Linked DNA regions of Macaca mulatta. The protein of the gene in region 1 binds, or shares a complex with, the protein of each later gene. Links are inferred from orthologs where the notes say so. Each region holds a gene or a part of one and is shown in the gene's direction. Other genes may lie near its edges. The genes, in order: MCM7 and DONSON.

What was found.
Region 2: MCM7 (region 1) and DONSON share a complex: the UniProt entries of both Homo sapiens proteins name them as parts of the replisome complex. The link is inferred for Macaca mulatta from reciprocal best matches to the Homo sapiens genes MCM7 and DONSON.

Annotation. Positions count from the first base shown.
Region 1 is NC_133408.1:47,406,911-47,411,440, reverse strand, and holds the start of MCM7 (DNA replication licensing factor MCM7), read left to right. Parts: upstream 1-1,619; 5' UTR 1,620-1,629; coding exon of another isoform or gene 1,630-1,739; 5' UTR 1,740-1,846; coding exon of another isoform or gene 1,847-1,904; 5' UTR 1,905-2,324; coding exon 2,325-2,355; exon of another isoform or gene 2,356-3,407; intron 3,408-3,546; coding exon 3,547-3,626; intron 3,627-3,887; coding exon 3,888-4,052; intron 4,053-4,241; coding exon 4,242-4,366; intron 4,367-4,441; coding exon 4,442-4,530. Other genes in the region: AP4M1 (AP-4 complex subunit mu-1), read right to left, coding at 1-50, 143-253, 687-783, 866-972, 1,630-1,739, 1,847-1,904. UniProt on the Homo sapiens protein: Acts as a component of the MCM2-7 complex (MCM complex) which is the replicative helicase essential for 'once per cell cycle' DNA replication initiation and elongation in eukaryotic cells.
Region 2 is NC_133408.1:13,806,853-13,810,663, forward strand, and holds part of DONSON (protein downstream neighbor of Son), read left to right. Parts: intron 1-209; coding exon 210-422; intron 423-1,308; coding exon 1,309-1,446; 3' UTR 1,447-1,454; exon of another isoform or gene 1,455-2,154; intron 2,155-2,223; exon of another isoform or gene 2,224-3,133; coding exon of another isoform or gene 3,134-3,345; intron 3,346-3,811. Other genes in the region: protein SON, read right to left, coding at 3,134-3,292. UniProt on the Homo sapiens protein: Replisome component that maintains genome stability by protecting stalled or damaged replication forks.

The DNA of each region.
Region 1 (4,530 bases):
CTGGCTGCACTGCTGGGAGCCACTTTGCTCTGTTGTGTCTCAGCCCCAAACTGTAAAGCATCCAAAGCAATCAATCATCAGGTCTGACAACCCCAGCCAACCCCTCTTCTCCTTCCTCACCCTCCTCTTTCCCTCTGCTGACCAAGCCAACGCTGCTGAGGTCAAAGAGGCTGAAGGGCTTGCTGACCACAGCTTCCGTCTGGATGAAATTCCTCAGCATCTCTGTGGATGTGGTCTGTACATAGCCATAGTCCTAGTGGTAAAGGAAGGACAGTCCGAGTGGTCAGTGGAGGGAAGGGGTAAAAAGGGGGAGTGGGGCCAGGCATGGTGGCACACTCTTGTACTCCCAGGTCTTTGGAAGGCCGAGACATAGGAGAATGGTTTGAGACCACGAGTTCAAGACCAGCCTGGGCAACAGAGCGAGACTCCCGTCTCTACAAAAAATAAACAATGAGCTGGACACAGGGGAGGAGGCTGAGGCAGGAGAATAGCTTGAGCCCAGGAGTTCCAGGCTGCAGTGAGCTATAATTGCACCACTGCACTCCAGCCTGGGCAACAGAGCAAGACCGTCTCTAAAAGGAAAAAAAAAATAGACTTGGCCTAACCACAGCATCCCACAGTAGAAGAGCAGATGTATCTCCAGGGGAATTAGGTGGGGGCCACAGAAGGGGATCATTGATTCTCACCAGCACTTCATCCAGGAGTTCGTAGACCAGAGCCACATTGCGGGAGATGGTCCCCTCGCCCAGGGAGCCACAGTAATCGCCCAGAAGAGTGGCCAACCTGAGGAAACACTTGGAGCGTGTATTTCCTCCTCCTCTGAGAACCCTGCCAGCTAGCAGGTGCCCAGCCCAACCCTCCTCACCTGGAGAGCAGTTCTAGGAGGCTGAAGGGAGAAACGTTTTCTGAAGTTGTGACCACCAAATACAGGCTGCTGTGTCTGATGTGAATGAAATGACGGCCATCATGATGCTGAAACACAGGCAGGGAGAAGAGGGGTTAGGAAAAGGGAGGTGGAGTAATCAGAACCCAGGAGACCTGAGCTGGGATCCCGATGCCTCTTACTAGTTTGGGAGATACATGACAGATCCCTGAGCCCAGCTTCCCATGTGGAAACGGGGTTAATTATAGTAACTACCCCAAGTTGCTGATAATGGAGTCACGCAGGGAGCTGGGCCTGGTGTGTTGCTGGCGCCCAATGGACGTTTTTTTTTTTCCCCCACCCCCATTACCCCGAGACGGAGTCTCGCTCTGTCACCCAGGCTGGGTGCGGTGTCCGGATCTCGGCTCACTGCAACCTCTGCCTCCTCGGTTCAAGCGATTCTCCTGCCTCAGCTTCCCGAGTAGATGGGATTACAGGCGCCCGCACCACGCCCAGCTAATTTTTTTTTCGTATTTTTAGTAGATGCGGAGTTTCAGCATGTTGGTCAGAATGGTTTCGAACTCCTGACCTCAGGTGATCCGCCCTCCTCGGCCTCCCAAAGTGCTGGGATTACAGGCGTGAGCCACCGCGCCGGGCCTCTTGTTAGTTTTACTTGGAGAAATACAACCCCCAAGTGGAAGCTACCATGGAACCAGTCCTGGGAGGGAGACGGCGCCCACCCGGCCCGCCCGGGCCCAGCTCCTCACCCGCCTCCCGCCAGTGGTTACCATGACAACCGGGGACTCGTCTCCTGGCAGTCCCGTCAGCTTCCGGTAGAAGAGCTCGGCCACATCCCGGCCGCCACTGTCCCCGCGGACTGGCGGGTGGAAGGACTCAGTGAAGGATCCTGCGACACGGGCTGGCCCTGGGCGCCCCTCCCGCCCGGTCCCTCCGCCCCTTCCCAGCCCCGAGGGTCTAGGATACAGTCTTTGTAGATGAGCGGGTCCCCCTTGGAGGACAGAATGAAGAACTGGGAAATCATGGCCGTCCTGGAGAGCAGACAAGAAGACGGCGAAAGTTGGGCCTGCCCCGCCCTGAGGCCCCGGAACAAAAGAACGCGCGTGCGCTGGCCCTTTAAGAGCGATTCTCCTCCGCCCGCGCCAGCTTGGACCGCGGGAAACCCGGCGCCCGCCCCACCCCGCCCGGAGATTCCCTTCCGACTCCCGCACCGCCTCCCCGTCACTCATTCGAGGCCCGCCCGGCGATTGGCTTGCGGCTAGCGGGAGGGAGAAAGGGCCGGCTTTTCCGATTGGCCCGCACGCAGTGGCGCTGGTCACGTGGGGGGCGACGTTTCGCGCCAATTTCGGTTGGCCGGCCACAGTCCACCGCCCGGACGTTCTCAGCTTCCCCAGAAGCAAGACCTCTGAGCCCGCCAAGAGCTGCCGCACGGGCCTCGGCAGCGATGGCACTGAAGGACTACGCGCTAGAGAAAGGTACGGGTCTACAAGCCTGGGAGGGCGTCCTGCGCGGGGAGCCTCCCGGGGAACACCTGTTGATGTGAGCTGGGGTTTTCGAGGACCGGGGTCAGCGGGTTCTGGGGCGCGCGACGCCAGAGGCAGGGTCGGGTTGCGGCCTGGCTAAGGCCCACGGGACCTGGAAGGCGCGCGAGGGGCATCGACGTTGAAGAAAAGGTAGTAATCCCACTTGGGAAAGGTGTTATAGAGTCGTGGGGTTGGGGGGCTTGGGGGGCGCTACCCGGCTGGGGGCTGCACAGGGAAGAGTCGCGCCGAGGACCTCAGGAGACTCTTTAAGGGCTCTGGACCCCGGACCCGCTTCCCTCCGCGCTTTTGGATATTCCCAGGTTCCCGCCGCCTCCCCGAGGCGCGCGGAGGCCCCGGGGGCGGGCAAGCCGGGGCCGCTGCGTGCCGGGATTGGCCGTTTGAGGCCGCCCTCCGAGCGGAAGTGGAGCCGGGCGGAAGTGGCGCGACGCGGGTGGAGGGAGTGTCGTGTAAACAGTGTCCTTCCGCGTGGCGGCCTCGGAGAGAGCTGCGACCCGGGGGGGCGTGCCTGGGATCCGGGAGCTTCGCTCGGGCCCGGGAAAGGCGGCAGTGGGCTGGGATCGCAGTGGCCCTGGGCGTGCTGGCCAATGGCTGAACTGGCTCCCGCCTCGGGCGGAGGAATCCCGGGCTGTGAAGCGGCTGGAATCCGGGCCCATGTGCTTCTTTGTTTACTAAGAGCGGAAGCGCTGGCGGGAGCGGTGGTGGGGTGCGGGACCTGCCTGGTGGCGGAGGTCTCGGTGAGATAAGGGGCTCGGGGGACCCAAAGAAGGCAGGGGATCATGGGGGTGGAAAGAAAGCTGAGAACCTTGAGGCCGGAGTGTGGGAGGCCAATGGGGAACGGCGCTAGGATTTTAAACTAAAGTAGGGACAGGAATTCCCCTGGGGAATAGATGTTGGATCGCCCTGTGCACTGCCCCGGGCTCTTTATTCTTCGCTGGTTAAAACAGACTGTGCAAAAGAGTTATGCCCACTTTGGGGAGAATTCGGTAGTTTATTTAAATGTTCATATTATTAGTTCATAGGCTGTGTTTTAAGCGAAAATAGGTATCTTAGATTTCTATCAGAGGGATGGGCAGTGATGTGTCTTAAAGTTTATGTTTTATGATTTTACATTTCACGTTACAGAAAAGGTTAAGAAGTTCTTACAAGAGTTCTACCAGGATGATGAACTTGGGAAGAAGCAGTTCAAGTATGGGAACCAGTTGGTAAGTATAAGATTGGGTAAAGGGAATGGGGAAGTGGGGTGCATAAGGAGCCATAAGAAGTAGCTTGGCTGGTTTTATTAAAGAGGTAATAATTAGAGGGTTTGGGGGCTGAGAAGCAAGTATCTCTCTAAGTGGTGCTGTGTTCTCCCCTGTGGATACCCAGAGCCTGTGCTGAGTTCTCAGTAATGTATCTTCACATATGAACACTGGTGCACAAGGTGAATGTGGCTTTGAGGTGTTTCTGTCTCTTCCTCACCTGAGGTTCGGCTGGCTCATCGGGAACAAGTGGCTCTGTATGTGGACCTGGACGACGTAGCCGAGGATGACCCCGAGTTGGTGGACTCAATTTGTGAGAATGCCAGGCGCTACGCAAAGCTCTTTGCCGATTCCGTACAAGAGCTGCTGCCTCAGTACAAGGAGAGGGAAGTGAGTGGCTAGAGAACAATGGCAAACAAAGGGAAAGGCATTTAAGCTTCTGTAGAGAGGCTGCTCAGATACTGATGTTTTCTGAGCAGGCAGAAAGAAGGGGCACTTCAGTCTCGTGTTCTCTGCGCTCTCCTTTCCCCATCCTGTTGCTCGTTTATTTATTTATTTGTTTATTTTGTTCTCCTTTAGGTGGTAAATAAAGATGTCCTGGACGTTTACATTGAGCATCGGCTGATGATGGAGCAGCGGAGTCGGGACCCTGGAACAGCCCGAAGCCCCCAGAACCAGTACCCTGCTGAACTCATGCGCAGATTGTGAGTGGTCTCTGTTGGGAAGTATGTAGGGATTGGTTCTCCAGGATCTTGTTTGTGACTGTTTTCTCCCCTTAGTGAGCTGTATTTTCAAGGCCCAAGTAGCAACAAGCCTCGTGTGATCCGGGAAGTGCGGGCTGACTCTGTGGGGAAATTGGTGACTGTGC
Region 2 (3,811 bases), about 34 Mb from region 1:
ACCTGAAAATCTCATAATATGGAGAGGATGCTGAAAATTTACTAAGTATTTGTACTCACGTAACATTGTTTTGATGTCTTGGGAAATAGTTTTGTTCCATAATTGTTAAAGAGAGGAAACCCCAAATGGAAATATATTGAACATATTTTTGGCTAGACAAAAGGTTGAGAGATGATCATAATTTTCCTTTTCTTTAAATTTTCATAAAGGCACGAAGTGTAAATGTGAAGACACAAGCTCTTTCTGGATACAGAGACCAGTTTAGTTTGGAGATTACAGGTCCTATCATGCCTCATTCTCTGCATTCACTGACCATGCTGCTCAAATCTTCACAGAGTGGGTCTTTCTCTGCAGTACTATATCCACACGAGCCAACTGCTGTATTTAACATCTGCCTGCCAGTGGACAAAGTACTTGATATGGTAAGAAAGACACCTATGAGCAGACTGTTTTAGTTGTTTAGCTGGAGGGAAGTGAGTCATTTATGCTGAGTCACTTTTGTGTTTCAAGTAATTAAACTGTTATTTAATTACGAATTACTAGAGGAAAGAATAGCTTTCATGAATTCAGTCCAAGTACAATTTTCTTTTTTTTTTTTTTTTTGAGACGATATCTTGCTGTTGCCCAGGTGGAGTGCAGCTACGCGATCTCGGCTCGCTGCAACCTCAGCCTCCTGGGTTCAAACAATTCTGCCTCAGCCTCCCAAGTAGCTGGGATTACAGGCATGTGCCACCATATCCGGCTATATTTTGTATCTTTATTAGAGACGGGGTTTCACCATATTGGCCAGGCTGGTCTTCAACTCCTGACTTTAGGTGATTCACCTGCCTCGGCCTCCCAAAGTGTTGGGATTACAGGCTTGAGCCATGGCGCCCGGGCTCAGTCCAAATACAGTTTTAACAGTGACTGAAGAACTTCGCATTTCAAAAAGGTACAACTTTTATTTTCATTTCCTCTTGGATCCAAAACTCAGTAGTACCTGATTCCTTTATAGTTTAAGGAAACATGATTCACTGTGGGTATTTATTTAACCATATTTGCCTTTAATTTTGAATATACTTAAGGTTTTTAGAGCTAGAATAATTAAGACCTTTAAAATTATCTCATGCATCTCAGTTGGCTAGACTTATAAAAATAACCATTAATGTTTTGGGATTTTGTCACTACAAAAATTCTTAGGATCAACTTCTGTTGATAGGATGAATCACGTGAATGAGACATTTGTCAGTCTCCATAGTAATTATTTGAAACTCTTTTGTGTTTAAAGATTGATGTGCTTTTTACTGACTTGTATACACATTTCCACAGGAGGTTGTTCATAAGGAGCTTACTAACTGTGGTTTGCACCCTAACACTCTGGAGCAACTTAGTCAAATACCATTACTTGGGAAATCATCTTTACGGAATGTGGTGCTGAGAGACTACATTTATAATTGGAGATCCTGAACACCAAAGTAAGCCTAAAAGGAATCTTTGAGGAAAAAAGCCTTCTAGCAAGGAAATTCAAGATTCTTGAAGTTGAAGGAATATACTGACATGTTATAAACATAACTTTTATTACAGTAGCATCTAAGGTTTTAAATCAGTGTTTTCTGCTTTTACTATTTTCAGATTAGATTTTTAGATACAAAGATGAAAAACTCAGATAACTCAAATGAGCTATCTGTATCCCTACAACCTAATTGTATATTGAGTAGAAACTGAATTAATGTTTCCTTGCAAATGGGAAATCACATAGCAGTTACCTCATGGCATTGTGACTAATGGCATCAGGGCAAAAATATGTTACTTTACCATTTACCTAAGACTGTTAGCAGGTTCTTGTTTCATAAAGGTAGAAAATAAATATAGATAACATCTACTGAGCTAGCTGATTGGTGATGCTTCTACCTTAATATCTTTCCTACTGATTTATAATTCCTTTATTTTCACATATACTAAAACTCTAATGCATGTTAATTCAGATAAAAAGGCATTTTGTATTCCACATAGAATAGTGTTAAGAATTGTGAAGTACACACTGAGCTGTCATGGCAAAGTAGTATTTAATGTGCTTATAGGGTGTGGGGGTGTGTGTGTGTGTGTGTGTGTGTGTTGTGTGTGTTGGGATTGTATAATTCACATTTTTAAAATAAAAGTGCTTAGAAATCAAAAGCATTGGGTAAAGAAATAATAGTATCTAAGTATTTGTTCACTTTATAATCCAGAAAATAAAACACCACGTTTATTCCAGAGAAGTTTGTATTTGGGCCTTAAGCTTTTGAAAATAAAGTTTAGAGACATAGCATATGAATACCACTGTAATACACATGAAATATTCTATCGGACCCTAAAAATTAACATAAACTTTAACTTTCTCATAGTCAACAAAATAGTGGCTGGTTGCCAATTTTATTAGATAAGTTGGTTACAGCATTTTAATTATCATTTTACGTCTATCTAGGTGTAGCTGAAATTCAAAATGCACATCAAAGTAAAACTATATCACAACTCAATGCCATACTAAATGTACTTGGCCTCTGCAATAGTAGAATTCTAGTCAGACTTCATTTTTTACTCCCTTCTTATGACCCAAGTGGCTTTAACAGGAATGCAGGACTTAGTGCTGATCATCACACAACATACCACTTTCTTTTTAGAACCTCTACAAAATTTTGAGGGGAGATTGTGGCAATAGCCCTGTGGAACAGATCTTGATCACCTCAATAACACTGGCCCAGTATCTGTCCAGCAGAACCCATTGTGAAATAGTACAAGGTGCACAGCCCTTCACTGATTACAGGCAAGTGTTACAGTAGCCTAGCCATAAGGAAGGGGAGTTACATCATAGTACAAAATACAGTATAAAAGCGTTATTTAACATTCCACACTGAAGATTACTCTGATGCCTTCAAACAATCGTTTGGATGTTAGCCACTTAAACAAATACATCACTAAGGTAAACAATATAAACATACCAAAACCCTGTATGGTTAAATACAATTTCCATGGTACAAAAATCAAAGCCTGGAGATGTTTTTACAGATTGCTTTTTACACAATGTCTTAAATTGCCAAATATTTACAACATTAAAGAGGAAATACATTGTGATGCAGAGTAAAATTATCTGAAATGATTATTATAAAACCTCAATCTATCTACGTGAGGCACTCCTGAAGCAAGTGGCATTAGCCATGAGGTCCTTTGGTACAAGGCCCATTGCTTGAAGAACCACAGTAGCTGCTGTGGCTTTAGCATGCTTCTTATTAGGGCTGGCAAAGCTGGGCTGGTAAGCGCTTCCATTTATCAATACCTATTCAAGAAAAACATACAATTGGGCTGGTAAGGGCTTCCATTTCTCAATACCTATTCAAGAAAAACATACAATAAGAACAGCATCAAACTTTAATATCTATTAGCTTTGTATTTTTCACTAAATGCTAGAAAAATAATTTACAAAAATATAAAACCCATACTATGTAAGTCAAATTATAATCTCAACCCAGAAGCAGCAAATCATTTGGGAAAAGGGACTGCAAATTAAAAGCAGGTCTCCAAATTGAGAAAAAGACTGATAAAAGTATTAAATTAATTCCCCACATTCAACTAGAAAATAACAAATTGTATACTATATTTTGCCCAATTTTTTCCAATTTTTTAAAAAATAGGACATTGACAAGTCATATGAAAGCACCCTTCAGTTTAAAAACCCCACCACTTAACTACAAATACAAATCCCCCACCCATGAACAGAACCTTAATCCTGTCATGTTTACCCCTCACCCTCTAAGTTATCACATTAATAAATATATACAATTAGTGCAGAAATTCA